Drosophila melanogaster: one gene and its partner. The protein of the gene in region 2 purifies or fractionates together with the protein of the main gene of each other region. This does not show direct contact. Each region holds a gene or a part of one and is shown on either strand. Other genes may lie near its edges.

Region 1 (17,647 bases), on a different chromosome or scaffold from region 2:
CCCCTCAATCCGGAAACTCTGGAGCGCGATCGCCAGTTTGTGGTGAAGAAGTGCCCGTATTTGGTGCAAGAAATGGTCTCCTGCGTTCACCAGCTGGTCATGATGGCCTATGCCCGACGTGTGCCCCGCCTGCCCAGCATCGAAACGATTGAGAACTGCATGAAAATGTCGCCGATGATTATCCAAGGCCTGTGGGAGTTCAAATCGCCACTGCTGCAGCTGCCCCATCTCACCGAGGACCATCTGTACTTTATGAACAAGAAGAGGCACGTCAAGAACCTGCAGCAATTCGCCCAGCTCAAGCCGGAGGAGAGCCGTCAGCTTCTGAAGAACCTATCTGACTTTGAGTACGAGAACACGATGAAAGTGCTGGGCAAGATGCCGCTGATTGACTTCTCCATTCGCTGCGAGGTTATCGACGATGAGAACACCAATGTGGTGACCGCCGGGGCCATAGTTACGGTCACGGTTACGCTGGAGCGCAAGGACATGAAGACGCTATTCGGTGACACAAAGGCGCCTGAGAAGCAGGGCATCAAGGATGAGACCAATGAGGAGGCTGCCGGTGATGAGGATGAGGCTGCTGCCGCTGCGCCGGTCAAGAAGGCTTCTGCCTGGGCCAAGCCACGTAAGGGTGGCAAGGGAAAGGGTGGTAAGAAACCAGCCCAGAACCAAAAGAACCAGAAGAAGGTGCCGGCCAAGGCTGCGACAACAGCTACGATCACGGCATCCGAGGATCAAGCGGCGGCGGGTAACTCCGATGCCGAATCGGAGGCTGGAAATGCGGATGGCAGCGATGTGGAATCGGCTGCCGGCAGTGGCAGCGAGGATGAGGAGAAGGGCAAGAACAACTCCTCGCTGGACGACGACGATGACGAGGAGTGGGAGCGACTGCAAGCTAAGCTTAACAAGAGGGAGCGTCTCGAGGGCAAGTCTCGGCTGTCGCACACCGTCCACTGCCCCTACTTCCCCGAGGAGAAGCAGGAGTACTGGTGGACCTACATATGCGATCGCAAGTCGCGCACCCTGCTCACAGCGCCCTATCATGTGACCAATCTGGTCGAGAAGGAGGAGATCCAGCTGAAGTTTACCGCGCCGCGCTGGCCGGGCGTCTACACGTTCACCGTTTGCCTGAGATCGGGTGAGTTTCTAAAAGAGTTTGGATTGCATAGTACATTGGCATTCGAAGGGGGGATTCTCACACAATGTTTCCTCTGTTTCAGACTCGTATTTGGGTATGGATCAGCAGCAGGAGCTGAAGTTGGATGTACAGAAGGCTCCCGCACCACCGACGGATCATCCTCAGTGGGATCTGAGCGAATCGGAACCGGAGCACACCGATCAGCAGGAGAACCTGAGCGACTATACAACAGATACGTCCGATGAGGAGGACGGCGAATAAATCCACTGTCTACATGGACAGTGCGACGGACGGACGGACGGATGGATAGACGTCCTGAACCCCAATCAACCTCAACCTCCTCTCTAATTCACTGGGACGGAAGAGAAGCCTCTTTGTTTTCCTTTTAGTAAATGAGTTTCGCGTGGCGCGTGGCGGAGGCACACCAATGCGAACCCTTCCTTCGCATTTTTACTAGTTTTGTAATGGAAAAGACCCCGAACTAGTGCGTAAATAACTATAACTTCATTTTACCGTGTACTGTACTAAACATAATTATAATGTACTGTATATTTAATTATTTGGATACAAGAACTAAAAGTGAGACACGTAAATACAAAAGTCTATTGATATTACTACTCTTTTGTTGTGTTATAAACTGAGAAAGAAAAACCCACGGGCTTGTTGCTACTTTCGCTCACTTTAATGCTGAATTAACATAAATTTACTGCACAATTTGCTGAATTTCTAGATTAACATTTTATTCAATTAAATAAATAGCATCACAATTACTTTAATTTAAACCATTCAAGTTATTGACCACGCCTAAACCTTAGCAATTTTTAAGTTTTTTTTTTTATTACATTTTTGCTAAGCCTTTGGATAAACTAATTGCTTACAGCTTTTAGAATTTGAATATATTTTAGCGCAAAAGTAAATTAATTTTGTAATAAATAAAAAACGGTTGTATCATTGTTAGAGTATCGACACATAAAATAATAAATCAGCAAAAACAAGTGAGAATTGCAACAAGCCCGAATAGTTTGTGGAAATCATAAAAATAATTTAAATCAAAGTTGGCGCTGCCTCTGTCTGCGCTGACGTCGACGCCTACTGCGCAGCCGCTGCCCGCTCGCTGTCCAATAAGAGATCCGATTGGGAATCTGAAGTCTTCTTAGCTGATGCTGCTGTTGTTGTTGTGGTCGCTGGTAACTTCTTTCATTGTTGTTGTAGACAGCAGCGAGTTTTTTGTTGTTTGTTTTGGGAAAGGAGTAAAAATTGTAAATAAGTCACATAAAGGCCTAAACTAGGGTTCATTACCCGTCACCAGACTCGTTATTAGTGGGTTCTTGTTTCTATTTACAAAACATTTTTGGTATTATTTGGCTAAATGTGCGTTTTTTTATGTGCGTGTGTGTGTATGTGTGCGTTTTGTGCATTGGTGTTTGTGATGCGGATGTCAGTGCGTTTTTTGTTGTCGTTCAATCGATTTTCTTTTACTCTTCTTCGCTTTCTTCGGAAGAGGAATTCTCGCCATCCGGTTTGCTTTCTTCATTTTCGGGCGTGTCTTCTGTCTTCGTTTCTGCAGGTTTTTCCTCGTCGATTGGTTCTTCCTCTTTGGTTTCCTCTACAGATCTTTCGGCAGTCATAACTTCTTCGGGCTTTTCTTGAGCCTCATTTTCATTAGGATTTTCTTTAATATCTTCAAATTTTTCGTTTTCCGTACTTACAACCTCGGATATTTCAGTACTACCAACTTCCTCGACCTTTTTGTTGGTCTCATTTTCTTCGAATTCATCTTTCACATCCTCCGATTCTACAACCTCATCATCTTCGGTACTTTTAACCTCTGATTTGGTAGCACTATCCGAGTCCGCGGACTCTTCTGTTGCATTTTCCTCGGTCTTTTCTTCAACATCCTCGTCTTTATCATTCTCATTGACTTTGGTGCCTTTGGTGTCATTTTCCTCCGTTTTTTCCTTGGAGCTTTCGGCCTCTGATTCTTCAACGGCATCAACTTCCTCGGACTTTTCTTGCGTCTCGTTTTTCTCCGATTTTGTATCCCCATCATCATTGGTGGCCTCAACATCTGGTTTCTCAGTAGTGTCAGCATCCTCCGATGTTTCTGCGGTCTCCTCACTTCCCTCTAATTTATCTTTAACATCCTCGGATTTTTCAGTTTTATCATCCTTAACATCCTGGGAGTTTTCCTTATCATCTTTTACAATCTCGGATTTTTCATCCTCATCATCTTTAACATCCTCGGATTTTCCAACCTCATCATCTTTGGTACTCTCAACCTCTGATTTTTCCTTGGTATCCACTTCCTCAGACTTTTCTTGGGTCTCACCTTCAGCGTCTTTACGGGGTAGAAATTTTGATTAGAGTCTAGGGACGATCTTCCTACTTTACCTGTAGTTTTCTCCTCCGTTTTCTTGTCCCCAGATTCTTCGGTTTCAGTCTTTTTGTGGGTGGTGGGATTAGGGGTGCGAATGTTTTGTGGGTTGTTGATTGGTGGTTTTTCGTTTTTTTTTTTTTTTTGGGGGGGGGGGGGGTAAAGTGGAAGTTGTATTTACAAGATCAGACAATCGCTAGGCTACTACAGTGCAAGAGATCATGCCTTTGTTAGCTCCTATAAGCTCTAAAAGCCTAGAGTTATGGTTCGGTCATGCAGGATCTATCGATCTATTACCTTTTGCTCGGCATTCTCTTCATCTGCGTCTTCATCCTCGCCCTTTGAATTCTCCTTGTCCTTGCCGTCTTCGTTCTTTAGAGAATCACTCAATTGTTAGTAATGTTTTTACATTACGAAACTGTTTCGAAAAAGTCGGTCTTTAAGGCAACAAAATTGCTCAAGAATATTGAAATTCACCATATTCCTGTACTTTTCGTGAAAAGTTTTTTTCGTCAAACCTAAAGACCAACTTTGGAAAATCTCTCTATAGATATTTGGTATTAAAAAAGCCTTTTTGTAAATTAAGTTGTCACATTCTCATTGTTAAACTAGCCGTTGATAAGTTGGTGTTAGAGTTTGAGTGTGTTGCATAGTGTTAGAAAAACAAGCTTGCGATTGGTTATAGTTTTTTTTTTTAGTTAATACAAATATATTTCCTTTTATTACAGGGGCAGCGCTTTTTTATGTTTTAGCATTAACATAACGGCTGCACAATAAATTTCAGCTCTCTACACTACTCCAACTTAGGCTTAAGTGCTCCGAGTAAGTATTCCGAGTCCTTATTACAGGTGTGTATAAATGGTACATACAAGTTGTTTGGATGTCAGTTAATGAATATAAATATTTTGATTAAAATTGTCTTTTCACCGGGGGCCAACACAATCGAATGCCCTCGTTTAAATACGCTCATGAACTTAGCTTAAGAACCGCAGTAGTCATAATGAATTCGTTAAAAATTGAAAGATCTTCGATTTCATGCTCTACCGATGAAGGTCTAAAAAGTCTCTAAATAAATCTCGTAGTTTTAAAAGTTAGTTTTGTAAATTTTGTATAATTTAAAAGGAAGATTGCACTTCATATTCTGCAATTATCTATACAACTCCCCCAAATCCCTATGGGCATAGAAATCGAAGACGGGCTCCATAAAATATTGATATATGTATGTAGAAAGTTGGTAGTATCTGTGCTGTTAGGTAAACATTGGGTGTTATTTCTGCTGTTAAGTGTAAGGGCTTTAGTTTCAAGACATTGCTGTTGTTGTTAATTCTATTGCTCTGCTGCAGATGATTGCTGGCTGCGTTTGTTGCGTCGTAACAGTTAACGGAAAATACGTGAAAATAGCTCAAGTTCAAACCTCGGCCTTCTCAGCAGCCTCCTCCTTGACATCCACATCGCCATCGCCGGCCTCCGTTTTCTTATCCTCCGCCTCCGTTTCCGCCTCCTCCTTCTTGGCATCGCCGTTCTCCTGCTTCAGTTCGATTTGGGCGGTACTAACTGCCGTGGTGTCGGCTGGAGCCAGCTTGAGGAACACCTCCAGGGTATCGATCTCGTTGGCCATGTCAAAGGCGTCGTAATCACCGCAGTACTCGTCGTCGTTGAACAGCTGCGGAGGAAGCGGATGACGGGGCTCTGGATCGCTGACCGTTCCACCGTTGCTTGTCGATTTGTTTTGCATCAGCTCCTTCTCGGATTCCTTGCCGGGCTCCGTGATGTCCACCGTGTCGTACTTGATGTTCTTGCTGTCCAGGATCATCAGAACGCGCTGCTGGCGCTTCTTCACCTGTAAAATTGGATTTCGACGGTCAGTGAAAGCATTTAAATTTGAAAAGAAAGTTAAAAATTAAAGTATATAAAATACCTTTAACATGTATCGTTTTGTTCAGTGTAGCTACCTTTGACAACGCTGTTAATTACAGCGATGACAAATCGCTAATGAAGTGTTACCGGCAAGCCCAAACGCACACAAGCGCACACAAAGCCAACTCCCCGCCGATATAAACATATGTACGTAAAAAGAACGCCAGAACCACGCGATATGATAAGGCTAATTAAAATGGTTTGTTGCACCCCAGCATTTATCTTACGATAAGAATATGTGTTTCCCAACGCTTTTTTAAAGTGTACAAAGACAGGACAAAAACAAATAATTGTGAACCGTACAATGACCGTTATGTTTTTGTTCTTATTGGAAGAGGAAGATTGCCAATTGAACAAAGGCACCGAAAGAGTGAGAGGGGGAAGTGAATCACCCCTCACGCATGTACACACACACACACATGCACACGCACCCACGCAACTGCGATCAATGGAAATCCCTCTCTTCCATGAACAATTTACAGTTCACAGTGGAATGAGCTTATATGGGCAATGAAATGTATGTTTGTTCTGCTTCTTGCCACCACTAACACTCGCACACAAGGGCACTCACGAAAATACCCACTTGTTTTTCTTTGACTGTACAGACATACAGACTTACATACCACACACTACATCATCATCATTGTCCAACTCACGTACATACACACAAAGACGAAACGCAGCAGAAGAAATAGAATTTGCAATGCGTTCGTCACCACTTTAGTTTGCTTCTTTTCCTTTTTATCTGTTTGTCGCTAATACCAGGGCCAAACATTCCAATAACATGACACTATTTCGGTTTTAAGCCCGCCACGCCCACAAACTCACCTCCTTATTGCCGGACATGCCGCTGACGTAGACTTTCAAGACCATTTTCGCAGATTACTGTGTCCTCGCACCGCAAATGAAATAATATTTTGCAACTAAAATCTGCTGGCTACTTTCACGGCGATTAAAAATATTTATAGATCTTTTCTTTTCCTGCTTTCTTCCGTCCTGCGCCCCTACGTAATGTTTTTCCACTGGTGACGAAGGCACACGCACTGGGCAAGGTCGTTGGTTTTATTGGCTGTAAAAACGGCAAAGACGCGGATAAAAAAATTGCCTGGCGACGCTTATAAAAGTGCAAAAATATTTGATATCAGGAGTGGAAAATATTTCCTACTTTGTCGTTGAATTGAATGGTGGGACCGCGCATTGACGGCTATAGAAAACCTTCCGGCTTATCAAATATACTAAATATGATGCTTGATTAAAATACTAAAAACTTTGAACTTAAGTGATATTTCAAAATTAAATATTTTTAAGACAACTTAAATTTTATTATGCTCCCATGTAAGGTTTTCATTTTTTAAACGTTCTTCGATTAATAATCGTAATAATAAAATAATAATTTATAAAAAGCATAAGATAGGCTTTTTAAGGTTTTTTAAAAGATAGAAGAAAAGGATTCTTATTATAGAACAAATTATTTTTAATTTGGCGTCGATGAGTTAGCGGCTTCAAGGAACGGTGGAATTTAGAACATGAGGGTGTTTTTTATTTATTAATTTTTTGTTACTTGGAGTTGAATTCCATAAAAATAAAAATGCAATAATGCTAACTTTCTACAAACGACTTAAGGTTATAGGACTCAAGAAAGTACATAGAATATGCAATTGAAAAATGTTCTCCCCAGACTTTTCGGTTATTTGAAGTTTTTGCTATATTTGGTAGAACCATAAAGTATTTTTTGGTATAGATCCGTTAGCAGGGCAACCAATATTAGCGGTCGCCATGCGGTCACTCTGTTCACGTCCCGTCACGCAAGCATCGTCGTCCATTTTTGCTAAGAAGCGAGACGAAAATTTGTAAATTATATCTAGCGAGTCGCCGAGGACGAACAACTATTGACAGTGCATTTCAGTGGCCTTTGGAATACTGCTCAAACAACCAGCAAGCAATAACATTACTTATATCTAACCGAAAACCTAAATTAATCACCCAAACTGAAGTACGGACGTGAATGTAAGTGGGTATGTGCCAGCGGACTAGTGGCACAATAAAAAAGTAAATAAAGCGCGTGTGAAGTGGTGCAGAAAGCAAAAAAGCAGTCGGAAGGAAAAATCAAAATACGCATTAATGTAAGTGCGATTGTTGGAAAAGCTGTTTAACTTTTTGTTCCTCTGAAAAGCTGATAATGATATGCGATGCGACCATTTTTAAAATTTCATGAAATCAACATTCCAACTCACAACGGTGTGCGTGTGCGTTTCTTTGTGTGCGTGCGTGTGCAGGCTAGAGTGGGACAACCAGTGTGATCGCTTTGGCTGCTGCCATTTCGTTTGCTTTTTTTTAAACTAATCTCTGGCATTTGTCACGTAAAAGAGTATAACGTTAAACCCAAAAACGTTTTGTATATGGCTTTAAATATTTAATAATTGTGGGCAGAGACAGCAACACCAGCAGCAGACGCATACACACGTGTTGCGGTTTATCGAGAGGGCAGTGTGCGTGTGTTAGTGCGGAAAACAGCTGGTACAGCTGCCGCTGCAGCGACGAAGAAGAAGAAAAGAAAGAAAGGGGAAGAGTGAGAAGAACACGCATTATTATCCTGCGTAGTTTTCTTTTATCGGTGGTTGTTCTGCTATTGGGTTACAGTTTACACTTTTCTCTGTTTTCTTTATTTTCCCTCTGCATTGCTATGCATTTTGCCTTTGCGTGGTGGTTTTTTTTATTTTCATTGTCGGTCGTCCTTTAATTGCGCTGCGCCACTTCGTTTCGTCGCTTTCTTTGGCTGGTTTCTCCTTCTCTTCGGAGTTTCTGGATTCGTATTCCGATTCGGTATCGCCCTTTTCCTGCGACAACAGCAGCTGGGTGCACGGTATCGGAGCTGTCGGCGATAGCCGAAAGAAGCTAGAAACCCCAAGGAAGCCAACATCCTTTTAATTGTCGTGGAAACTATAATAGTCTCATAAAAATTAGGTTTTTAAAATGGTTTTGTCATTCTATTCTAGAAAAAGCTATGAATATAAGAATATAACAATATGTTTAATTGCTTACTAATTTTATTGAACAATATAATTTAATCGTGACGAAATGGGGGAAAAAAAACATTTTTTTGTTGTCTTGAATTTTTTTTCCTCTCTTGTCATGATTATTTAGGTAAAACGGACGTCATCAAAGTCATTAAACTTACGCGAACTTCGCATTTAAAAGTTTTTTACTGGCATTTCTATTTTTAATAGCTTTCTGGGGAAAATATCGGATAATAGCTTTTCAAATTATGCATTGCTAGCAACTTTGACTAGCGAAAAGTATTTACTAAAAATTTTTGTACCTTCCTATTTTCGGCGCTCTTTTTAAGCAAAGGCCCTTGTTTTGTAGCGTTGAAGCCTCAAATTATTTCCAAAATCACGCCCCATAAGCGATAAGATAAGAGAGCGTACAATTGTTGCCCACGATACATACAAGGCGAGAAAAAGTCCAAATTGCCAGCATTGGCGGCCATAAATCGCTGCACCATTTTCTTTTATCGGCTGCGTGTGCGTGAGTGCACGCCTGTGAATCCTGTTTTTTCCTTGAAACCAGTTTGCGTCCGTCTTTTCTTTGCCAGCAAGGTGTTCACTTCACCTTACTCATTCATTGTTTGTTTGCCCATTGCAGCCGACGCTTGATCTTCCATCTGCAGCATCCATCATTTGGAATCGAGGCAATAATCAGCATCTACCGACAATCAAGCAAGCCATCTATCTATCAGAAGACCACCGGGTAGTAGAACCTCAATCATAGCGATGGCCTGTGCAACCCTGAAACGAGCCCTAGACTGGGAGTCGATGAACCAGCGGCCTCCGAAGCGCCGGCGTTGCAATCCCTTTGGCCAGGCTGGGAGCAATGCAGGTCCAGCGTCGCCATCCCGCGACGGTCCCAGCACCTCGGCTGGTCTGCCCCACACGCCCAGCAACCGATTCGCCAAGGATAGCACCGAACCTAGTCCGTTCAGTGAGTCGTCGCTGGCCAAAATGTCACCAGGTTAGTAAATCAGGTCGATGCTGGAAAAGGGACGTCGGATTCCTTTTATGCATATTACCTTAATACACCTTTCTTCTTTTCGAAACACAGACAAAATGGCCGAGAGCTTGTGCAATGAGATCAAGAGACTGCACAAGCGCAAACAGCTGCCGATCACTTCGTCGGCCTTGGAACGCATGCAGGATTCGGAGTCCAGCGGATCGGAGATGGGTCCAGAGAGTCCGCGCCGCCCGGACAGTCCACAGAACCTGATGCGCCACGGCGAAAAGGCCCTGTTCACGTTCAAGCAGGTGCAGCTCATTTGCGAGAGCATGATCAAGGAGCGCGAGAATCAGCTAAGGGAGCGCTACGAGTCCGTGCTGACCACCAAGCTGGCCGAGCAGTACGATGCCTTTGTCAAGTTCACATATGATCAGATACAGCGTCGCTACGAGGCAGCGCCTAGCTGTGAGTTCAAGTTACCATCGGTCATGGTTATAGTGCTAATTACATTATATTTTTATTTCAGACCTGTCGTAAAGCTGTGTACACAGCTGTAGCCTCAGAAAGAAGAAATTAATAATTGCACTACGATCTTATGTGACGGTAGATCTACCGCGACAACAACAGCCCTCATAAACTATAACAAACAACAAATAAGGAAACTAAAGCAAACGCAAAACAAACCAACAAAAAAAAAAAACCTAAAAAGCAAAAAACCTAAAAACAAACAAAAAAAAAAAAACAAACTACAACATACATCGTGTTTAATATATTTTGAAATACACGCGAAGAAAACGGTTATAGTTTATGCCTAGATTTACATATATATATTGTATCGGTTAGCAGCAAAGGGATGAATTATTTAAAAGCAAGCAAAAACCACAAAAGAGAGAAACCAACAAACCAACTTGTTAAATTTATGTTTTTCACATAACGCAAATTCTAAATAAAATGACAAATATCAAATTATGAACTATATGAACTATAAGCACACCGCCACTGCAGACATATACATATGGGTGCATCCGTAGAGAGAACGATTCAATGAAACCTCAAACGTAGCTTCGTACATAACAGACCGACAGAATTGGCAAATATATAATGTTAGGCACATGATGTAGCATATAAGGTATGATGTAAAACCTATCAAACTACATATATTGTTTTTTTGGAAATTGTAATTTATGAAGCGAAGCAACAAAGATAACTCACAACTCATGAAGAACACTTTTCATAGTTTATTTTTGCATATTAGTTGTAACACTAAGGCGAGAAACGAACGCTTGAATTTGCCTATTTTCTCGAGTATCGTTTGTTAATTGTTTCTTCCTTTGATGCGAATTATTGCAAAGTAATGTAAACACACAAAACAATTGAAATGTTTCGATTTGCTTTACACCATACAAAAATGAATAACGAAAAGAAAAGGCAAACAACAAAAAAGGTATAAAAGTTATTCATTAAGTTAAATTGAACGCTTTCTTATAAAATACGCTTGACAGAAGATGTTTCATGTTCATTGCAATTATTTTTTCACACCTTGAAGAATATATACGAGAATATATGATATATATATATATATATATTTTTCAATTACCGCAATCATACATACTACTTTATATTAGTAATTTAAACTTAAAATTAGTAAAGAAATGCCATTTTTATATTAAAACAAACAAAAATAAAATGATGAATTGTAGATGCCCGCTGGTCTTTTCTTTTTAAAGCTTTTTATTCTGTTTGTGAAGCGAACTCTTAATTTCATCCGTTTATAAACCACAATATTCTTTTTTTTATACCAACCCGTATTATCCGAATAAAACTCAATTGGTTCTGGTTGCTCCAAATCCAGCTAATGCTAAATGATTAACCAGGTTTTTCAATATAATTTGCGAATCTAGCAAAACTGCCATAGGTGGGGAAAAGACTGAGCAAAATGAGAGATACCTTTTGTGCAAAACTTTCCATTTGTGAATAAAATTATGAATAACCTTTACAGTGGCTTCTCCAGACTCTGAGAATATTCATTTTGATTTATTTAATGTGTTTGTGCGTTCAACAGAAACTTTCCAAACTTAACACTAGTTAACTAAAAATACGCTTGATTCACATGCTTACAATTACATAATAATGCATTAAAAAGTCTTCAATAATAAATACATTTAGTTCAAAACTCAATTGAACGGAATGAGGAGGGCTATCTTATCATCATAATCAATTCAAAGCCGACGTGGAGCATCTCCCGGCTAAAAAAAACTTCGATATTCATAAAATTCCACAAGTAAACTAAGGAAAGGCTCTTGGGGGACACAACGACTTTCTAAATGGTGGGTGGATGATCTGGGGGGATCTGACCCGGAAGGCACTACAAATGGTAGAATGCTGTCAATAATACAGGGGAGAGCTGTGAAAGGAAGGGGATCGATGGAAATTTCGAAATAAAAATATCAGTCGGTATGGTTAGTTTCTGCATGTTTGCTTTTCGAAGAGCGACATCGATATCGATATACGAATGTGGAAGAGCGAATGGCTGTGAGAATCAGAGATGCTTCTTTTCCTTCATCGGCGAATCCTTGACGTTTTCTGCCTGCTGGACCGCAGCGAACGTCGTGCGCGAAAAGGGATCCACACTCGCATCCCTGAAGGTCTTCTTTTGGGTCGGCAAACTCTTGGTCGGCGCCGATGTAGCTGGTGTGGGTGTGGAGGACCCGGATTGGGCGCTATTCAAATGCGTCTGGCTCCTCTGACCACCCAATCCTCCGATCAGCGACTGGTGAGGACTAAAGAAAGCGGCCGATGCTGTGCCATTGCGCAAACATTGTTCAGATTCTCCGCCAAACATGTGAGCCGATGAATTGCCGGACAGCGGGGCATCCAGCCAGCAGCGCTTCACGGATATGGCCAATTGATCCTTGGCCTTGAAGATCTGCTCAATAATCCCATCGATGAGGGAGCCAAGTGTATCGTATTCATTGGGCACCATTCCATCGACACTGCTCTCGAAGTAGCTAAACATGGGAAACCAAACACGCGTCCTCTTGGAGTCGCTTTGCATGAGAGCCTGTGGAAATAAATTATTATTAGAATGCCCTTTCTAAACAAAAACGAAGCTGTTAAATGCTCACCCTGTTATTTGCTAGAGTATGATAGTACAGAAACAGACGTGAGGTGATATAGAAGGCCACAAACACATCGATGGAGTAGTGCTCGTGGGCAGCCAGGATGAAGAATATGCCAAACATGTTGAGCAGCCAGGTCAGCGTGTGCAGGAAGTACAGATTCCGCGGCGTGTCTGAAAGATCAGAGTGTAAGTCAGTAAGCAGCATAGGAAATATAAATAAATAACACACATTCTGTGATAAAGAAGTTGAGCAGGGTCAAGGCCACCGTGTGACCACTAAACATATAATCGCCGCAGGTCCGCACTCCCTGAATGGACATGCCCAGGCCGCTCCAGATGCGATAGGCTCGTGACATGCGGATAATCAAGGCGCCCACCATGTCCACATTGGGATCATCGATGGCAAAGTCCTTCTGGCTGCACTGCAGATGCGTTCCCGGTACGCTCAGCGACGTGATCAACATGGTGACGCAGCGCAGCAGGAAAACCGTGCCCGCCAGAGCAAAGAATCGCCTCAGTAGGACCAATCTATACTTGTGGAAGGTTAGCACGACCACCCAAATGGTGAACAATAGTGAGCCGGTTATTTCGCACATATTAAAGGCCCACGGAATATGCGGCACGTTGTCCAGGAAGATGTCCGGCAGCGGCGGATAGCGCTTCATATCCGGAACCCGCTCGTGCACAATAACCATTGTTAACGATGTTATCCAGGTGACAACGAACGAGTAGCCTGTTGATGGTACAAAAAATATGATGTTACCATGCGGATTTAGAGTGTGACTAATTTGGCTCAGCAGGCGGAAAAAAAATAGTTATGGAATCGGTCATTTGCAACCATAATCTATAAACTCTCTATATATAATTTCTAAAAACGTTTGTATTTCAAATTGATCTCAAGATGTCGAATTTATGAAGTTGAATCACAATGATGACTAAACTTGAGATATCAGAGCAAATAAACGTATGTACTTTATTCTGATAGTCATCTTTGTTTGTATAATAATTTAGTATATAATGCGGAAACCTTTTAACAAAGAAAAGGAAACCATTTTATTTTCGTATTATTATTGGTAGTGTGTTTGACCCCGTTCCGAAAGTGATAAAAGTGTAATATTTACTACCAAAAGAATTATCTTTCAGCAGCTTTATCTGCCAAAATGTAGACTTATCTATTGAAATGGCCATGACAATAGAAAAACAAGCATAGTCTGTAATGATAAATGCATTATCGAAATAAAAAGCCACTGATAGCAAATTAGCCTAGATAAGCCCATTGTTTCGTTTGAACTTTGATCACTTAAATATTATAACTCAAGTGAAACATTATTTTACAGAACAATCCTTTTTTGAATAATCAGCTAAAACTTGTCAGATAGATAAATAAATACATAACATAATACATAAAATTCAACACTCGATTGGCTACTGTTTTTAGGTTTTCCTTTGCCGTTCAATTTTTTGAAAATTTACCCGTTAAGTAAAACCAGCCGTTTGAAGGGTATCATAAACAAATGGGAATTTGAAATTTAATGCACGCAAAGTTACACAAAAATAACAAAACCAGTTAGCCAGAATGAGAGGCATATGAGTACACAAATAAATGCGAGCGGCGTCTACACAAATAACCTCCGAAGTGCTCAAAATAAATAATAGTAACGCGTCGCCAGTGACCAGTAAACATTATTAAACTTAGAGTGTGACGTATCTCTAGAAGTCATAGCTAATGAACCCATGAACTCGAAGGTAAATTCGTTTACTTTCGTAGAATAGGTAGTAGTACAGAAACTATAAATGGGATTTAATGACGTATGGTCTGATTAAACATTTATAACACGCGTGACATTGAAACCATTATTATTGGCCTATCGCTGAGGTAGTGATTGGATTGAGTGATATACTCTAGAATTAGATTTACTAATTAAAGCAATGTTTCTCACATGGAAAGCGTTTATTTCTGGTTACAGAATTTTAGAATTATTAATGCTGGCAGACATGACAAGAACTAAATGTTTAATGTTTAAAAAGATCAAAGTGTGATATGTATGATATTTTTTCGTAGCTTGTTGGGATTATTAAGGCAAATGATAGCAAAAGTCTGATAAAATGGAGCAGAGGTTTATATAATATATTATTTCCTTTGAAAGTTAACTGCCATATGCCAGAGCTTCTTATCTAGATATGCATATGTATATAGTGACGTATTTGGGTGGTCCAAACCAGCCACTTCCATTATTTCAAAGAAATCAGTAATGCACTCTAGTAATTTTCCATAACGTATCCCAGCTGCGCAGCATTCGTTTATCTTTGGCAGCGCAGCCGTTCTTGTAAACATCCTAAAGCCTGACCTAAGCAGATTTGACTGCCCTCTTTCAACGCTACCTAATCTTAAGAACCCAAGAGCGAGGCTCTCCCGAAATACAAATATTGTTCAAATACTGAGGCTTCTCCTCAATCCAATTTGCATTTGATTTTTAGTCTTAAGCTGAGATCCAAAGAATAAAGTCGTGAAACTATTTCTCCTAAAAACTATTTTTTATTTCTTGGCGTTGTCCTTAGTCAACTGACGGGACATTAGTTCGACTCATAAATAAAACAACAATTTTACTGGCGCAGTCGGTAGGATACAAAAGTATCCGAAAAAAAGAACCTTCGAGTGGAAAATAAGTTAAATTTTATAGTCCAGTGCTCGAAACATCTCCCAAAATAAATTCGTGAAAACTCTTCAACTTGGATTATAATTCCAATTCGGTTATCCAATAATAAGTGGAAGTGAAATACGAAACAAAAATATTAAGTCCAAAGGCAACTAAGTTTTAAAACCAACATATAAAAATAAAAAATTAAAACAATATAGAATTTTAATAATACAACACAAAAATTTACAAAACAAAAAAAAACAAACAAGTGAAACTAGAAAGCTTAAAAATAATAATAACATTGAATCCGAAACAAAACAAAAAAATAAAACACAAAAGTTAAAAATTTTACAATAAAAATGTCACAACCAATTATTGCGCTGAGCGACATAAACCTTGCCGAAGCCCGTCGGCAGCTTAAAGACATTATGCCATTCAAGGGTGATCCAGAAACCCTTCACACCTTTATCAGCAGAGTGGATTACGTAATTTCGCTCTACCAAACAAATGATGTCCGACAACAGAGGATTCTACTGGGAGCCATCGAAAGGAACTTGGACGGACAAATTACACGATCTTTGGGACTTCCGAACATCGAAGATTGGCCTACCCTTAAAGCAAGACTCATCGCGGAATTTAAAATTCAAACACCAAACTACAAACTTCTGGAGAACTTCAGGGAGACACCATACAGAGGAAGCCTAAGAGCATTCTGCGAAGAAGCGGAGAGACGACGTCAATTACTAATTTCGAAACTACACCTGGAAGGCACCTGGTACCCGATAACACTATTGTTTATACTGATCACAGCTGTTCATGGACAACAAATTCAAATTAATAATATTGACACCAACCACGGATATCTCCTTTTTTCTGATAAGCCAGTACAGATACCATCCTCCTTTGAACATCACTCCTTAAAAATCAATTTAACTGAAATAGACATCGTGGTTGACTATTTTGAGCAAAGACTACGAACCGATTACCATGCACCCCAGATCAATTTTTTATACAATAAAATAAAAAGAGAACTAGCCGGAATAACCCTGAAACATAGAAACAAACGGGGTCTTATTAACATTGTGGGTTCAGGTTTTAAATACCTATTTGGAACACTAGATGAAAATGATCGAGTCGAAATACAGAAAAAACTTGAAATCAACGTCCATAACTCAGTAAAATTACATGAACTCAACGACGCCATACGATTGATAAATGACGGAATGCAAAAAAATACAGAATTATGAAAATAACCACACCATCATTGACAGTCTTTTGTTCGAACTAATGCAGTTTACGGAATACATAGAAGATTTGGAAATGGCTATGCAGCTTTCCAGACTTGGACTGTTTAACCCCAAATTACTAAACTACGACAAACTTGAAAATGTGAACAGCCAAAACATTTTGAACATTAAAACATCCACTTGGATTAACTACAATGATAACCAAGTATTAATCATATCCCACATACCCATTTACCTTTCACTAATAAGCACAATTAAAATAATTCCTTACCCAGACTCCAACGGCTATCAGCTAGATTACACAGACACACAATCATATTTTGAAAAAGAAAATAAAGTTTATAATACCGAAAATAAAGAAGTAAAAAATGAATGTGTCACCAATATTATTAAACACTTAAATCCAATTTGTAATTTTAAGCCAGTACACACGAACGAAATAATAAAATACATAGAACCAAACACAATTGTAACCTGGAACTTAACCCAAACAATTCTTAACCAAAATTGCCAAAATTCAATTAATAAAATAAAAATAGAAGGAAACAAAATGATAAGAGTAACGCAATGCAAAATAGAAATCAATAATATAATTTTAAGTGAAAATCTGTTAGAACCAGAAATAGATTTGACACCACTATACACACCACTTAATATAACAAAAATAAAAATTGTAAAACACAACGACATTGTTGAGATGATTTCAGAGAACAATATTACACTTTACATACAAATGATCATTGTAATAATCGCACTAATTTTGTTGTACTCATATTTAAGATATGTATCATTTAAACCATTTATGATGCTGTATGCAAAACTTAAAATAAGAAAAAATCAAAATCAAAACACACCACAACAAACAGAAATAGAAGAAACTCCATTTCCCACACTATATCCATCAATCCCAGCCCAAGTATAGGCTTCTCTTTAAGGGAAGGGGAGTGACGTATTTGGGTGGTCCAAACCAGCCACTTCCATTATTTCAAAGAAATCAGTAATGCACTCTAGTAATTTTCCATAACGTATCCCAGCTGCGCAGCATTCGTTTATCTTTGGCAGCGCAGCCGTTCTTGTAAACATCCTAAAGCCTGACCTAAGCAGATTTGACTGCCCTCTTTCAACGCTACCTAATCTTAAGAACCCAAGAGCGAGGCTCTCCCGAAATACAAATATTGTTCAAATACTGAGGCTTCTCCTCAATCCAATTTGCAT
Region 2 (15,539 bases):
TGGAACCTGATCCCAACGCCAACTCAGAGTTTGAAACGTGGGCGCAACTTGTTTTCATATCGGGGGGGTCTTTGAACGCCGACGAAAACAACACGCTGCACATTTTAAAGCGCAAGCATAAATCATGTAAACAAGAACAACGAGAATCAAAGGCGGAACTCCCCTCTCTGTCGCAGTCATTTTGGGTGTGGTCAGTGGCCCCAGTTTAATGCCACTGAATAATTCATTCAAGAAAAGCCATTTCCCTGTCGCCGGCGGATTGATGAATATGCATCGTGTGGCCAGCACCGAGGCCTCCTTCAGTTTTTCAGGTTATTTGGCAAAAAAAAAACCACACAAGACAAGAGTCAGAGCAGGAGCTCAAGAGTCAGCTTATACAGTAAACATAACTTAAGGCGGAATATGACATGAAAATACGTATTAAAAATAAGTGGTAGCTTGGTTGAAGTAGTTGTTGGTCTGAATAGTTTTATTCATTTATACAATGTTGCAACTCAATGGTGTTTACTTGACTACTTTCCATTACGTTCCCCTGAGGAAAGTGCAGCTCCGTTAATGTCACAGTTAAAGAAGTCGTACTGTACTTAATGGGCGACCTCTCCACCCTTTTCTTTTGCTGATTCCCTGTGCTTGGTCGAGTTGGTTCGGTTCGGTTGGTGGTTTTCTCGGTTCGATTGCACACGAGTGCGACTACGATTATTTTCAGCTGTGCGGTTTCTTACCGCTGTTGTTCAGTTTTTTCTTTCTTTCTTCTCTCTTTTTTTTAATTTTTGTAAGCTTTTCTGCTTTATTTTCTGTTCGGTTCCATTTTTCAAGAGAGAGCGAAGAAAAGTGTGTCGCACTCTGCAGCTTCTGCTGCATTTCTGGTGGCCCAGCATCGGCAGAGTCTTTAAAATCCGGGTTTGTGAGGCGAGCTTGGGTTCCGAGCCAGCCTTTCGGTTTGAGTTTCACTATTTGGGTCAGCGATGATGAAAGCGCCAGCGCCGTTCGTGATGTTGATGATGACGATGGGGCTTAATGATCACCACGCTCGCAAACTATTTTCCGCGCTGTAACTAAACGAGCGCGCGTCTGTTTGTTGTTTTTAAGTTTTACAGCGCCTTTGGAACAGGCGCTCAGTTTTTCAAGCAGCGCTGCTGCACTTACAGTTGCACTTGCTCGCTTACAATGAAAAAACGACAGCGGCAGCAAAAGCAACGAAACAACGGCAACAGAAGCAGTGGGCAAGCAGTTCAATGCACACAACAACAGTAGCCACCCGTACATGTGTGCATGTGTGACTTGACTGCTTTGTAACGGCAGCTTCTCCGACTTGGAGCGCACTCACACTCAAACACTCACTCGCGCATCGGCCATCGATGGGGCTTATATTTTCTTTCCGACAGTCCCATCTCTCTCACACTCATCACCTCGCCTGCTCCCGCTCGCATCATCTGTCAAACAGTGCTGCCGAAAGTAGCTGCATGGAACCTCAAAAGTAGCTAAACTCTTTTAAGACTAGCTTTGGCATTTCGAGCTTTGATATTTGCTATTTTTATTTATTATTATTATTATTTTGATCCGTAGATCCATTTTTCACCTTCGTATTAATAGTTCAACCGCTAAAACAGTGAACGCATTTATCATTAAATTAATTTCCAACACTGTAAGCCAAATACTCGATTAAATTGTAATCAATAAGTATTTAATAAATAGTAAAGCAATAGTAGTTTTGTACTGATGTGTTTTATCTTAAACCTATCGTTATGCAATTCAAAAATGCTAAAAATACAATAAAAGCACCATAAAAAGCGATTGGCTTTTGCGTGTTTCCGTCGGCGTTTTTCTTGGTAATTGTAATTGCGTTTTAGTTGTTTTGCTCGTTCGCTTCGCACTGCGCACTTGTGTGCAGTAGTTTTGAGTCCCCACACACAGACACACATGCGCCCCACTAAGTTTTCATCGGGTTTGTTTTGCTCGCTGCTTCGCTTTTGTTGTTGCCAATTTTTGCGCAGCTACGGCGGTCTTCGTCTTTTTATAGTTTTTGTTTTTCTCTCCTCCATTTGTTTTGCACATTTCTCTCTGTGAGCTAGAAACCTGTTTTCCCAAGGTGTTTGTTTTTGCACGAGTCGTTTTATTTTGAGGCTATATTATTATTGTGCTTTTATCTAGTCGCAGTTGTTTGTCTGGGACAGCTGGCTGGGGGCCACGCCCCCATTCGCCGCCACCGCCCCCTTGCTCGCCTTTCCTTCTATTTTTAGCCAGTCGCCTAAACAACCTTTAGAATTCTTTTTGATTAGCACACAAAATACGTATTATTTTGTTTCTTATGAATTGGTTATACTTGTTGTGAATTTATTACTGTATCTCGATGGTTAATTGGCGTTGTAACTTGGCCATTACCCCCCTTAGCTTATCTGTTTTAACCCTTGAGCGGCAGATAGCAACCAGTCGAAGCCGAACGATCCAGATTCCAGTTCTCCTACCCTGGTAGCGTCCAAGTTCCATTGAACTCGGGTTAGGAATGTCTATATAGTATATGTATACACACATTGCGAATGCATGAAAACCAGTTGCACTCCGCGTTCTAATCTCGCTGTCCATTAAGAAGCGTCTCCGGCATCGCTGATTTATGCAAACCATTGACTTTACACACTGCCCGTCAAATACTTAATGTTTACCCGAAGTGAATGGGTACTAAGGTCATTCGTAAATGGATCCCATTTGTGGCAAGAAAAGTTGCACAACTTTATTCAAACGATTATTTTACCACATAATCCTTACCTATTACATCTACTTTTAGCATATATGTATTATATTAACTCCCTATTCATGGTATCCTGATCTTTTTCCTTTCCTTTTAGGAGTACGACATCTCCAAAAAATGCGAATACCTGTTTAAGCTCGACTACAGCCTAATTGAGCTGGATAATACGAACGGATTGCTCAGTCCGCGATATCCTGGCCGAATACTCATCCCGGAATATGAGCACGGGCACATGGCCAAGACGCTGGTACCGGGAAATGGACTCTTCGGGCAAGTTGGTGGGGGAGTGGGAGGTGGAGGCTCCTCGGGAACAACCGCCACTGCCACGCCTCTGAACAGCAGTGCAGGAAGCACCGGAAGTGAGGGTGTGGGCATCCAAGCCTTTGTGACCTTTGCCAATCCCCTGCAGACGCAACAACAGCATCCGCTCCAGCAACAATATCCCTCGCAGCAGATGCATCCCCTCCACGCGCAATATCCCTCCCAGCAGCCACATCCACTCCAGCAGCAGCAGCAGCAGCCATCGCAACAGCAACCACAAAATACGATATACGAGGATCAGTATGATATCCAGCGAATGCGGGAATTGGTAACGATGGCCAAATATGCGAGATGCCGTCAAAGATTCGCCGTGCCTGTGATTATGTATCGCGGAAAGTACATATGCCGCTCTGCCACGCTATCCGTCATGCCAGAAACCTACGGCCGAAAAGTGGTGGACTATGCCTACGACTGCCTGAGTGGCGGCAATTACACCGCGCCAAACGGAGAAGAGAACGATGCTGACTCCACGGACGAGTCGCTGATCACCCACATGCACGACCAGGCGCAGTCGCAGTTCAGCTACGACGAAGTCATCAAGAGTGACATCCAGCTGCTGCATACGCTCAATGTCTCAACCATTGTGGACCTCATGGTCGAAAACCGCAAAATCAAATACTTCATGGCGTGAGTACACTTTAAGATACCGAGTACAAAACAAAAACTGACCACCTGTTTTTTTTGTTCTTTTAGCGTTTCCTCGTCAGAGAAAGCGGATCCCAACAAGCACTATAAGAGCTTTAACCTTCTATCCCTGCCGTATCCGGGCTGTGAGTTCTTCAAAAAGTTCCGGGACAATAATTACATGGCTCGCAACCTGCACTACAACTGGAAGCAAACGTTCAACGATGCGAATATCAACATTCCCAACATGGGACCCGCTGCGGATATCGATGTGGCGTGGTCGGAGTACCGGGATTGGGATCTGGTGGCAATCACCCAAAACTATTTGAGAGCTACACTGAAATACGTGCAAGAGGAAAACTCCGGCCTGCTGATTCACTGCATCAGCGGTTGGGATCGCACGCCACTGTTTGTCTCCTTGGTCAGGCTGTCTCTGTGGGCAGATGGACTCATCCATCAGTCGCTGAACGCCATGCAAATGGCCTATTTCACACTGGCCTACGACTGGTACCTGTTTGGCCATCAACTTCCCGATCGCCTGAAACGAGGCGAAGACATCATGTTCTTCTGCTTCCACGTGCTGAAGTTTATCACGGACGAGGAGTTCAGCATTGTGGAGCACCGCAAGCGCACCAAGACATCCAGCAGCAGCGGCAGTAGTGTAATAGTAATCAAATCCGATTGCTGCGACGATGAACCGCTCAAGGAGTGAGTATAGCCAAAGACACTAGAATTATAGCCAAGTATTGTAAATGAACAGTACCATTATCAGTCCATTTACTTTGAATTGCAGAGACTACATCCTTTCGTTCGATCAAGATAGCAACGACAGCTACTCAAACTGTTCCAACTGTGATATGTCCATAACAGATAACTTCTATGCCACGACGCCGGCGCAAGTCAATCCGTTGACCAGCAGGTCGCCAAATCCGAAGAGGTTGAACAGCTGAATACTAAAATTAGAAACCTGACTAACTGTGAACTCAACTTGTTTTAGATCTAGAACCAGCCCCATTTCAGTGCCCGGATCAAATGCGCGGCAAAGACAGGAGTCTACATCGTCCAATGGTAGCTGGCAGGTGGTTACCGACACGGGTTCAATTGACTCCATGATGAACGGCAGCTACATGATGCGCTTTGTGGCGCAACAGGCAGCCGATGGTGGCGGCTCCTCAAACATTCCTTTATGCAATGGCGGCAATGGTTACCACTGCAGCATCAATGCAGCATCGAGTGGCAGTGGGAGCGGAAGTGGTAGCAGTATCAGTAACGGCAGCTCGACGCACGGTTTCGCAAACGGTTCCTCCAAAGACGTAGGCGGCAGCACTATGGCCAGCAAGCAATGCATCAACTTGTAAGTTGTAGTCTGATTATTCGACAGCAAATACATAATGACATAATTTTGTTTTACAATTGGAGACGAAAGCAACGCCTGAATGCAGTGCGCGCCATTTTTATACAAGCCTACGGCAAGACGATTGGACTGAAATTCAAGGAGGGCTCATCCATGAACCTGGCCACGTTCATTGGGAACCTGGCGGACCAACTGTTTTGAGAAAGGATTAGCAGCTATGACCGTTTGTTAGATTTCATCAACATTGTTTGTTTCTTGTTAAGTGCTACGCTTTCAACCAACGACTGTATTTATAGACCTGTTAAATTGCGTTCTTTAGTATCTGTTGACGATTGTGTAGTGTAACGGATTACTGATTACCGATAAGCATCGAAAGAACCAGGCGATCGTAGGCAACGAGCAAACAAAATCCTGTCGTCCTTCTGCCCCGGCTAAACCGCTCTCCTGTTCTCTAGGTTCTCCCGCTCCTTGTTTGTTTAGTTATTAGTTCTTCGAGAATGCAAAGCAAGTGAAATATAAAATGCTATTTGGATTATACAATAGTTTTAAGTTGTAATTTATAGTAATGTATTTTTTAATAAACTTATGTGCATTTTATACGAAAGAAAGTCATGTTCTCAGCGTAGGCCGCCTTGAGCGCCGTATTCTAGCTAAGGGTAAATAATCATCAATTTCCACTCGCTTCAGCCGGATGCGACACCTTTTAATGTAGTATTTCGCGCTTTTAAGAGGAACGAAGCGTGGTGTTTCTATCGGTCGTTCGTCACATTTTGTTGTATCTTTAATTTTAGGTTCAATAGCTGTTTCTATTTTGATTTTGACATCATTTGATCCTTTGCAAGCATTATTATATCTGATTCTTTTATTGGCACTTGCGACATTGGGTCTTATTTTGTGTGGGCTAATGCCGAATCTGTCCATGGCCGGACTGAGTAAATTGTCTGCTGGGAGCTCTTTCACCCGTATCGCTTTAAGAAATTCGTCGTATTCGCTCTGAACCGTCTCCAGGTCCTTAGGACCCAGCTTTCGAGTAGCTTTCTCTTGGCGCTCTTGCTCCAGGATGAGGGCGAGGACCTCCACTTCTAAATGCCGGCGTTCCGCTTGCGCCATAGATTTCACGAAAGGCAACTGACTGAGAAGAAACTCCTGACACTTGGTTTTCGGCACATCCGCCGGATTCGGGGCTTGCATGCGAATGTGCACATCGTGCATCACCCGCCACAGAGGTTCAGGGATTTGCCCTTTGGAACCGGCCAAGGCTCTGACCAGCGGGCGCAGCTTCACCCAACGCAGCTTCAGTTCACTTACGGAGAACGGAGTACTCAGCTCAACGTGCTCGTAGCTTTGGTTAAAGGACTTGGCCAGCTGATCCCAACCCCAGGAGTCGTAGTCAACGTCCATTTTGGGCTCCACCTGCGGGATGATAAGGAAGGGATACCGGGCGAGCATCTCCATGAGCAGCAAGTCGTTTAAAACAATCTGGCCGCTGATGTTGGTGTTTGATATGTTAATCTCCAAATGGGGAACAGTGGAATGGATCACCGTTTCCTCGGCGCTGTCGGTACTCATTTTAATATTTTTCGCACTGTGTTTCTCCAACGTTCTACAACACATTTGTGTACTAATTCATCCGTATGTTTTAATATACCACTTAACGGTAATTTCTTTAATAAAATCTATGTTTTTAGAATCCGAGTTTTAATTTGTGTTTGCTAACTAATAGCGATGGAAATTGTTTGAGAACAGCAATCGATAGGTAAGCGACCAAAGCGATAGGTAGGAAAATATTTGGCTTAAACAATCGATAACTTATCAGACCATCTCCAGCGAGGAAGAAGCGTCGTGAAAAAAGCCGCAAAATATACACAGACGGAAGTATTTTCGCGAATTACTTGAACACAACGTGCGAAAAAAATAATCGGAACGCCCCAATATGAGTGGCGGCACCATGCTATATGGCGGCGACGAGATCGGCGCCCTGGTCTTCGATCCTGGACATCATTCCTTGCGAGTGGGCTACGCACAGGAGGATTCGCCCAAGGCGGAGATACCCTCGGTTGTGGGGATTGGAGCAGCTCCAGAGACCAATCTCGATCCGGAAACTAAAACAGACAACAATGCCACGCCAAATAGTTAGTTTCTACATCGCCTTTATTTAGTTTATGGCTTTTAAAAACCCGGAAAAACCGGCAATCCCTACCCCTACTCTAGATGCTGACCAGCGCAAGTTCTATGTGGACACCAACTACGTGACCGTTCCCCGTTCCAATATGGAGGTGCAGACCTATATGAAAGACGGCATGATTGACAACTGGGACCTGTTTGAGAAGGTTATTGATTATGCCTACGCCAATGTCATTCAGTCGGAGCCGGAATACCATCCCGTGCTCTTTTCCGAGGCATCGTGGAATGTCCGCAACAACCGCGAGAAGCTAACCGAGCTTATGTTCGAGAAGTACAATGTTCCAGCCTTCTTTCTGGTAAAGAACGCCGTTCTGGCTGCCTTCTCCAGCGGGCGGGCCACCGCTTTGGTTGTCGATAGTGGAGCCACCCACACCTCGGCCGTTCCCGTCCATGAGGGCTATGTCCTATCCCAGGCGGTGGTTAAGTCACCCCTGGGTGGAGACTTCCTTTCACGACAGTGCCGCCAGCATCTGGAGAAGCACGGCATTGATCTGTCGCCGGTATACAAGATTGCCTCCAAAGACGTTGTTAAGGAGCGCGACAACGGACGCTTCACGCTGCGCAAACTGCCAGAGAACCTAACTCAGTCGTGGCAAAACTACATGTTGCAGCTCATGATGCAAGACTTTCAGATGAATGTGCTGCAGGTCCTAGAAAATCCGTTCGACGAACGGGTTGCTGCTCAAATCCCGACGGTACACTATGAGTTTCCTAATGGTTATCATCAGGACTTTGGCTCTGAGCGGTTCAAGATAGCCGAGAGTCTCTTTGACAATGCAATGCTGGGAGCTGGCCAATTGGCGTCCACCAGTGTGGGCATGTGTGATGCGGATGTGCGGCTGTCACTTTTCGGCTCAGTTGTCGTTACTGGTATGAATTTTCCCTAGGTTTTAAAACTAATTACTTATACCTTAATATTTTGCTCTTAGGTGGCAATACCCTTCTGCAAGGCTTTCCGGAGCGCCTAAATCGCGATCTCCAGCTGCGTGCCCCCTCAAATACGCGCCTAAAAATGATTTCTGCCAATGGCAGCGTGGAGCGAAGATTTGGAGCCTGGATTGGCGGCTCTATTCTAGCCAGCATAGGTACTTTCCAACAGATGTGGATATCGTCGCAGGAGTACGAAGAGGCCGGCAAGAGCCAAGTCGAGCGGAAGTGTCCGTAAGGACAGCGCAATCGAATTCCAATTTTAATTTTAAAGACGCAACTCTATGTAATAATATAAATGTGAAATGTGAAAAGTGTCCCATTATTCAGAAGACATCTGAGCGTTTGTTTAGGAATAGATTGCATTTGATTACGGAAATGTTTTTAGTTACACACATATGTATATATTTACTGCGACGCTGACGCGGACGTTACAGTTTCACATTTCAATGGAGTTTTCACCGGCTGCCTTTTGTCTTTCGGATCTAATTCGTACGTAATGGATATGGAGTGAACTCTGGGTCCTCGCTTTTTGTGGAACTGTTGATAGAGCGGTGGCACATAAATCTTGCGGCGAATCAGCGTCTCTTCTGTTATTTCGTGGCAAAGTTTTATAAATCGTCACATGGCTCCAGACATTGTGTTGTTGCAAACGCATTGCTATGGGCGGAACACATGATGAACTTAGTTTTAAATGATGTTTATCTCGGCTCACTCACCTTGGCATTTAGTATGTCCTCCGACCAGTCCTCCTTGGCAATTCGACCAACAGCGTTGACCAGAATCTTCTTCACCTTAATTACGTTCTCGGCAAAAGTACGGAGGACATCCTGCACGTTGACACCCTCGCAACCCATGCGCCAGCAGTCGTAGTCCGTGGCAATGGCCACCGACCCGTAAAGTAGGCCAGCCTCCTTGGCTAGCACCACTTCTGGACACGTGGTCATGTTTATGAGGTCCCCGCCCCACTGACGGAACATGTGGCTCTCCGAGCGAGAGGAGAAGCGCGGACCCTCAATAGTCACAATGGTGGCCTTATCGTGGGCGGGAATCTCCAGCTCCTTGGCCGCCTGAAGCAGAATGTTGCGGGTGCGTTCGCTGAATGCCGGAAACATGGGCAGGTGGCAAACACCACGTGGACTTTGTGCCTTGCCATCGTAGAAGGTCTGAAGGCGTTTAGTAGTCCTGTCGATAAAGTCGTGTGGAACAACCAGGTTGCCCGGCTTGATTTCCTCGCGCAACGATCCACATGCCGTGGAGACAATTAAGTGGGTGCAGCCCACATCGCGTAGAGCCCAGATGTTGGCCCGGTAGTTAACATTGGAGGGCATGATGTCGTGCTTGCGTCCATGACGCGCCAGGAGTACGCACTGTACTCCATTGATCTCGCCTTCAATCAATGCATCAGACGGTTCTCCGTAGGGCGTCTCCACCACACGTTCCTGCCGCTGTTCCAGGATATCTGGGTCGTCAAGCCCCGAACCGCCAATAATACCAATCTGTGGGTTATTTATAGTTTGGCATTGAACAAAATGGGGTGCTTAATTTTTGGACGGACTACGAACTCACCTTGACCGGAAGCGGGTCCAGATTGGTGTCTTTACATTTAATCGTAATCATGGCTAGCGGAGGATTGTGCTTTTACAAGCTGCTGTTGCGGCAGTCTGGAGCAGAGTAGAATGTTCCCGCTGATAGCGTACTGATAACTGTGTGTCTACACGGTAGGGTGCATAAGCCGCAAAAGCTCGGGCATATTGAAATGACACTCAGCACGTCGTCGTGGGTGTGTAATTATGGTAATTGAATTATGTTTGCAAAATTTTGATTTTAAATCTTATAATAATAGTTATGACAAATTAATATTTATAATTATTCATTTTAGAACAAAACTAATCATTTGATAAAGAATCAAATCAATCAAAATTAAACTAACAAAGCCCTTCTAATTATATTTATTACAACTTATATCCATATCAGTTCCGAATAAAGAAAATAGGAAATTGGAACATGGAATAAATTATTTATTGTATCATTTATATAACAAACTTAATTTGTATGCTTATTTTGTAGGGTGTCTAAATGTGACAGCCGACCCTGTTATCGAGCCGTTAGTCGGGTACCCTACCCGTATGCACTTCACAACACTGCCTGAAGTGAAGAAGAAGAAATCTGAATGTAAACAGCTGGAAGTGCGGCACATGTGTTTTGGCATAGAATCTAAAACAAGGAGAAGGAAAAACAATGTACCACCTTGGACAGGATCTGCCAGGCAACGATGTGGATGATATAGAGGATCTGATATCCGCCGATGATGTCAAGCCGCGTGAGCGCTACGAAAACAAAAAAACCGTTACGGTTCGGGCCAAGAAACGATCCCAAATTCGACTTGAATCTCAAGAGGAGGAGGAAAAGCCGAAGCCCACGATCCACGAGAGTGTCATACCCGGCACCCAGAAAGTTTTTGTGAAAACATGGGGCTGCGCCCACAACAATTCGGACTCGGAGTACATGGCCGGGCAGTTGGCTGCCTACGGATATAGATTGAGTGGAAAGGAGGAGGCGGATCTGTGGCTGCTCAATAGCTGCACGGTTAAGAATCCTTCGGAGGACACTTTCCGCAACGAGATTGAGTCGGGAATGCGAAATGGCAAGCACGTCGTGGTTGCCGGTTGCGTTCCCCAGGGAGCTCCCAAATCGGACTATCTGAACGGTCTTTCCGTAATCGGTGTCCAGCAAATCGACCGAGTGGTGGAGGTCGTTGAAGAGACCCTCAAGGGTCACAGTGTCCAGCTGTTGCAAAACAAAAAGAAGGTCCATGGTCGGCGGGTAGCTGGAGCACCACTCTCATTACCCAAAGTCCGCAAAAATCCATTAATAGAAATCATATCCATCAACTCTGGATGCCTAAATCAATGTACCTACTGCAAGACTAAACACGCCCGCGGTGACTTGGCCAGCTATCCCCCGGAGGAGGTTGTAGAGCGCGCCCGCCAATCGTTTGCTGAAGGCTGCTGCGAGATCTGGCTTACTTCCGAGGATACAGGAGCTTATGGTCGAGATATTGGAAGCTCATTGCCGGAATTGCTCTGGCAACTGGTGGAAGTGATCCCCGAGCACTGCATGTTGCGTGTAGGCATGACCAATCCACCGTATATACTGGAGCATCTCGAGGAAGTGGCCAACGTCTTGCAGCACCCGAGAGTCTACTCCTTTTTACATGTTCCTGTACAGGTAAGGATCGAGTGTAATATATATAAATATTTTTCGATAGTCAATTATTTCTTTTTATAGAGTGGTAGTGACTCTGTGCTGGGCGAGATGAAACGAGAGTACTGTCGGCAGGACTTTGAGCACGTTGTGGATTTCTTAAGGGAACGAGTTCCCGGTGTCACGATTGCCACGGATATAATTTGTGGTTTCCCAACAGAGACAGAAGACGATTTCGAGGAGACGATGACCCTTTGCGCCAAATATCGCTTTCCCAGTCTGTTCATCAATCAGTTCTTCCCTCGTCCGGGCACACCAGCTGCTAAGATGGATCGCATCCCCGCAAACCTGGTGAAGAAACGAACTAAACGTCTCACGGATCTCTTCTACAGCTATGAACCCTATGCGGACAGAGTGGGTGAAATATACACCGTCTTGGTCACAGAAGTTTCACACGACAAGCTCCATTACGTGGGCCACAACAAGAGCTACGAGCAAGTACTGCTGCCCATGCGGGATAACCTTCTTGGTACTCGTGTCCATGTGCGAATTACCAGTGCGAGCAAGTTTAGCATGGTGGGAGAAATTTTAGACGACGAACGCGATTGGACGAGGTGTGCAAAAAATCAGGAGTTACCAAACGTTCAAGTGCAAACCAGGAGTCGGGAAAGACTAATCCAACGCTATTTTGGCATCGCTTTGGTGTTGGGAAGTCTTGCTTTCCTCATACAGCTTGTAGTTCGACTCTTATAGCCACATCAATAAAACATCTCGTTCCAAATTCATAATTTAAGTAACGTTTTGAACTTAACCTAAGATACATTAGAAACTTGATGGTTCCATATAGGTATGGATTGGCCCAGATCTCCTTAGTACTCATCAGAGGGTTCCGTGCCAAAGTAGCGATCGCCAAAGTTACCAATGCCGGGTATAACATAAAACTTACTATTAATCTCCGGATCCAGAGCGGAAGTAACAATTTTCACCTACATAAAGAAGAACATAAATAAATGCCGGCTTTTGGAATTTAGTGTCAATCTCACCTTTGGGAAGGCATAGGCAATGGAGTGCACACCGATCTCAGCCATCAAAAGCGAGGCCAAGATAATGTTGTCCTCGGGTACATCGTGATCCAGCAGCACCCGAATGGCCATCATGGCCGCTGCTCCTGTGGCCACGGTGGCATCCATTAGTATCACCTTGTAGTCTTTTATGTCTTTAGGCAGCCTCAGGTAGTAAAGCTCCGGCTCGCCGGTCTTAAGATTGGTCTGGATGAGGATCTTTCCGATGCGAATGTCCTTGCACACATCACAAACGGCTTGTTCCATTGTTTCACCAGCTCGGAGAATTGAGACGCCGCATATTTTTCGCGATTCCATACGCTTGCCCTCGTAAAGGACACCTTGTGGAGTCTCCACTGTTGTTTTCTTAAAGGGAAATAAGCTTAGCGCATATTCAATGACTAGCCGTATCAGGCGCTTTGAGTAAAAAATAAACTCATCGCGGGACGTATTTCGGCAACGGATGAACGTGTGCAGGCCCTTTATTTGGGGCGTGGGATGCAGCAAGTGCAGAGAATGTGGCATTGGCTGGTCCTTGTAGGAGTTGGCCAGAGTTTCGCGCAGCTTAAATCCGCGCTGGAAGACAGACAGACAAATTAACAAGGTGAACAGCACCGCAAGCAGGCAATTCATACCAGTTGCAGCTGTGTGTGCACGTGCTGAACAATGAGATGGATGGCCACCTTGTTGTCGCCTCCACGAGGAACAATGATATCTGCATGGGCCATTGTTGGAGCTATGTAATTGCAATAGGAGGGCTTAACCATATTAAGGTATTGCTTCAGCACGCCCTTGAGGTCTCGTCCGCGCTGAGAGATGTCCCTAAAATTGAACAATTGATAACAAAATATGATAATCAAGGTAGGCAGAGCCGAGAACCATCACATACCTTCTTAACCGCCTGGCCAGACGAATATCGGGATCTGTGTCCACAAATATCTTCATGTCTAGCAATTTAAGTACTTCAGGACTATGAAAGGTAAGAATACCCTCGAAGATGATCACATTGGCCCCGTACATGGTTTTCGTTTGGCTCTCACGACCATGTGTCACAAAATTATAGACAGGAACTTCCACCTTTCGGCCCTCCTTCAGCTTGGTGAGCACGTCCAGCAGCAGCTCGATGTCGAAGGCATCCGGGTGATCGAAGTTATATTCGTTGATCAGGGCCTGCTCATGCTGTTTCTCATTAAGGATCTACAGGATTAACATAATGAATTCAGTCAATGTATTTCGTCAACTAAATTATAATTCTCCAACCTTGTAGAAACAGTCCATGGACAACAGTGTTACCCATGGAACGTCTAGGCTTTCGATGATTTTCTCAGCCACTGTGGTCTTGCCAGAGGCACTACCGCCGCAGATTCCTGAAGGAAATTAAGCACATTAGAGAGACTAGAAAGATTTGTTTTTTGGGAGTGATGTGTTTACCTATGACGAAGGGCTCCACCTGTTGCCCAGCACAATTGTACCACGGCGGTCGTCCGGCCGTGTAGATCGTGCGGTTATTTGCGCGTATGATGCATTCGGACGGATTCGCTGTGGTGGTCTGGTTGCCAATGGATGTGGTTCGCTGTCTCCTACCGGAACGTTTAAGAGGCGAATCCAACGATGCTTTAGCAGGCACTGTGGTGGGCGAGGCCGGACAGCAGTTGAGATCCCCGGGCAAGCCATTGCTTAGGTCGGCATACGGATCCACATAGAGTTGCTCTGTGACATCCGAGAGTGAACGGTCATCGCTGCAAATAGTACGTATATAGATTAGTTGGCGATTATCAAGTTCTACACTCCCACCATTTAACGATGACGTTAGCCACAAGTAAAATAATTGGAATTCAGTGATTAGCCATGAGATAACATTTTTATCACCTAGCACTGATTAATTTCATAATAATTTTAAATATTTTGATATGTACGAAAGAGTAGATTACAGAACGTGTTAGTGAAATTTCTACCATGCCGTACCAGCTATTGCAATGCAAGCTTAAAGCTATAAGTTCAAGGATGCAGTATACTCACTGACCTACTCTACTTTAACAGCCCCCATCTGCACACGTATTGACACCCACACAAACGCGAGAAACCAGGCATATCGTCGACGTAAAATTAATCTACTGCTCAATATGTTCTATAAATAGACAAGTTACTTGAGGCCTTAATTGAATGTGATAGAAGATAACATCGTTACGTATTATCAGGTTAATTCTTATATGGCTTTCAATGAGAACAGCTAATACGTTACATTTACAGCTCCCTTTATAAATCACGTTGGTATAGCAAAAGTATTGCAGGAATATGCAGTAATATGATATGGGAATATTTGTGATTTGGCATGAAATACGATATGATCATGATGGGTTGATATCTAATACTAGTAAGTAATATCTAGAAAGAAGTTGGCCGTTAAAACAATAATAATAGACAATAACTAGGGCCAAGTACATGCAAAAACACTCATCATACAATTCTGGGAAGATTTCAAAAATAAGAAAACAGGGGCCGGCAGACAAAGCAACGCTAGACGTATCCATTTATCGAATGCTGCGTAGGCGCGTTCGTTGCACTCATTCTTTCCGCCTTTCTCTGTATCTTCTGCTCTTCATTTGCGTACCAAAATGAAATTCACCACACGGAAAGAAAAAACTGAGGATATATTTTTTTAGAATTCTGCAGAAGGTCAAAAAATGTTGTCAAAATTTTAGAACAATATTTATCATAACATAAAAACGATAAATATTAAAATAAGTTTGGGGTACTTGTGATAAAATGTAAATTTAGAAGAATCAAAAATGTTTCATTTTTCTCTCAGTGTGGGGCCAACAATCTGGTGACGCCACAGACGAGATTCCTCCGCATATTTTTAGTTTTTGCACACCAACAAAAGAAGCGAGAGATGAGCGCTTGCCACGTGTGCCGTGCTCTTCCCAAAAAAGGAACCAACAGGTTATGGCCTTCCAGGCGGGTGGGACAAGGACGGCAAGCGGGAGTTTCCTGGCGAGGGAGATGCAGGACATTGGGAGCCAAAGGGAGGCTAAGGGAACTGGAAATGGCAAACGTGGCTCATGTGTGTTGTTGTGATCGCTGCCATGTTGAAGAATCGAGAGAGCACTTGCTG

What was found.
Region 1: the proteins of Bap55 (region 2) and akirin purify together in Drosophila melanogaster (affinity purification with western blotting, with the first as the bait; one study listed by BioGRID). This does not show direct contact.

The regions. Positions count from the first base shown.
Region 1 is NT_037436.4:7,362,630-7,380,276, forward strand, and holds akirin (akirin), read left to right. Parts: upstream 1-7,213; 5' UTR 7,214-7,439; exon of another isoform or gene 7,440-7,555; intron 7,556-7,710; exon of another isoform or gene 7,711-7,921; intron 7,922-8,170; exon of another isoform or gene 8,171-8,396; intron 8,397-9,077; 5' UTR 9,078-9,205; coding exon 9,206-9,443; intron 9,444-9,533; coding exon 9,534-9,890; intron 9,891-9,951; coding exon 9,952-9,962; 3' UTR 9,963-11,082; downstream 11,083-17,647. Other genes in the region: Sec63 (secretory 63), read left to right, coding at 1-1,141, 1,224-1,402; Sh3beta, read right to left, coding at 2,617-3,479, 3,533-3,581, 3,813-3,887, 4,930-5,355, 6,261-6,305; SMSr (sphingomyelin synthase related), read right to left, coding at 11,965-12,486, 12,551-12,717, 12,776-13,279. UniProt on the Drosophila melanogaster protein: Molecular adapter that acts as a bridge between a variety of multiprotein complexes, and which is required for embryonic development and for normal innate immune response.
Region 2 is NT_033778.4:17,422,280-17,437,818, reverse strand, and holds Bap55 (brahma associated protein 55kD), read left to right. Parts: upstream 1-6,855; 5' UTR 6,856-6,978; coding exon 6,979-7,177; intron 7,178-7,256; coding exon 7,257-8,099; intron 8,100-8,158; coding exon 8,159-8,394; 3' UTR 8,395-8,466; downstream 8,467-15,539. Other genes in the region: EDTP (Egg-derived tyrosine phosphatase), read left to right, coding at 2,844-3,694, 3,761-4,399, 4,464-4,628, 4,689-5,045, 5,111-5,246; Lhr (lethal hybrid rescue), read right to left, coding at 5,655-6,659; Mtap (methylthioadenosine phosphorylase), read right to left, coding at 8,778-8,816, 8,876-9,655, 9,726-9,776; CG6550 (uncharacterized protein), read left to right, coding at 10,398-11,387, 11,448-12,116; l(2)k01209 (lethal (2) k01209), read right to left, coding at 12,233-12,349, 12,407-13,000, 13,060-13,246, 13,314-13,621, 13,685-13,791, 13,856-14,163.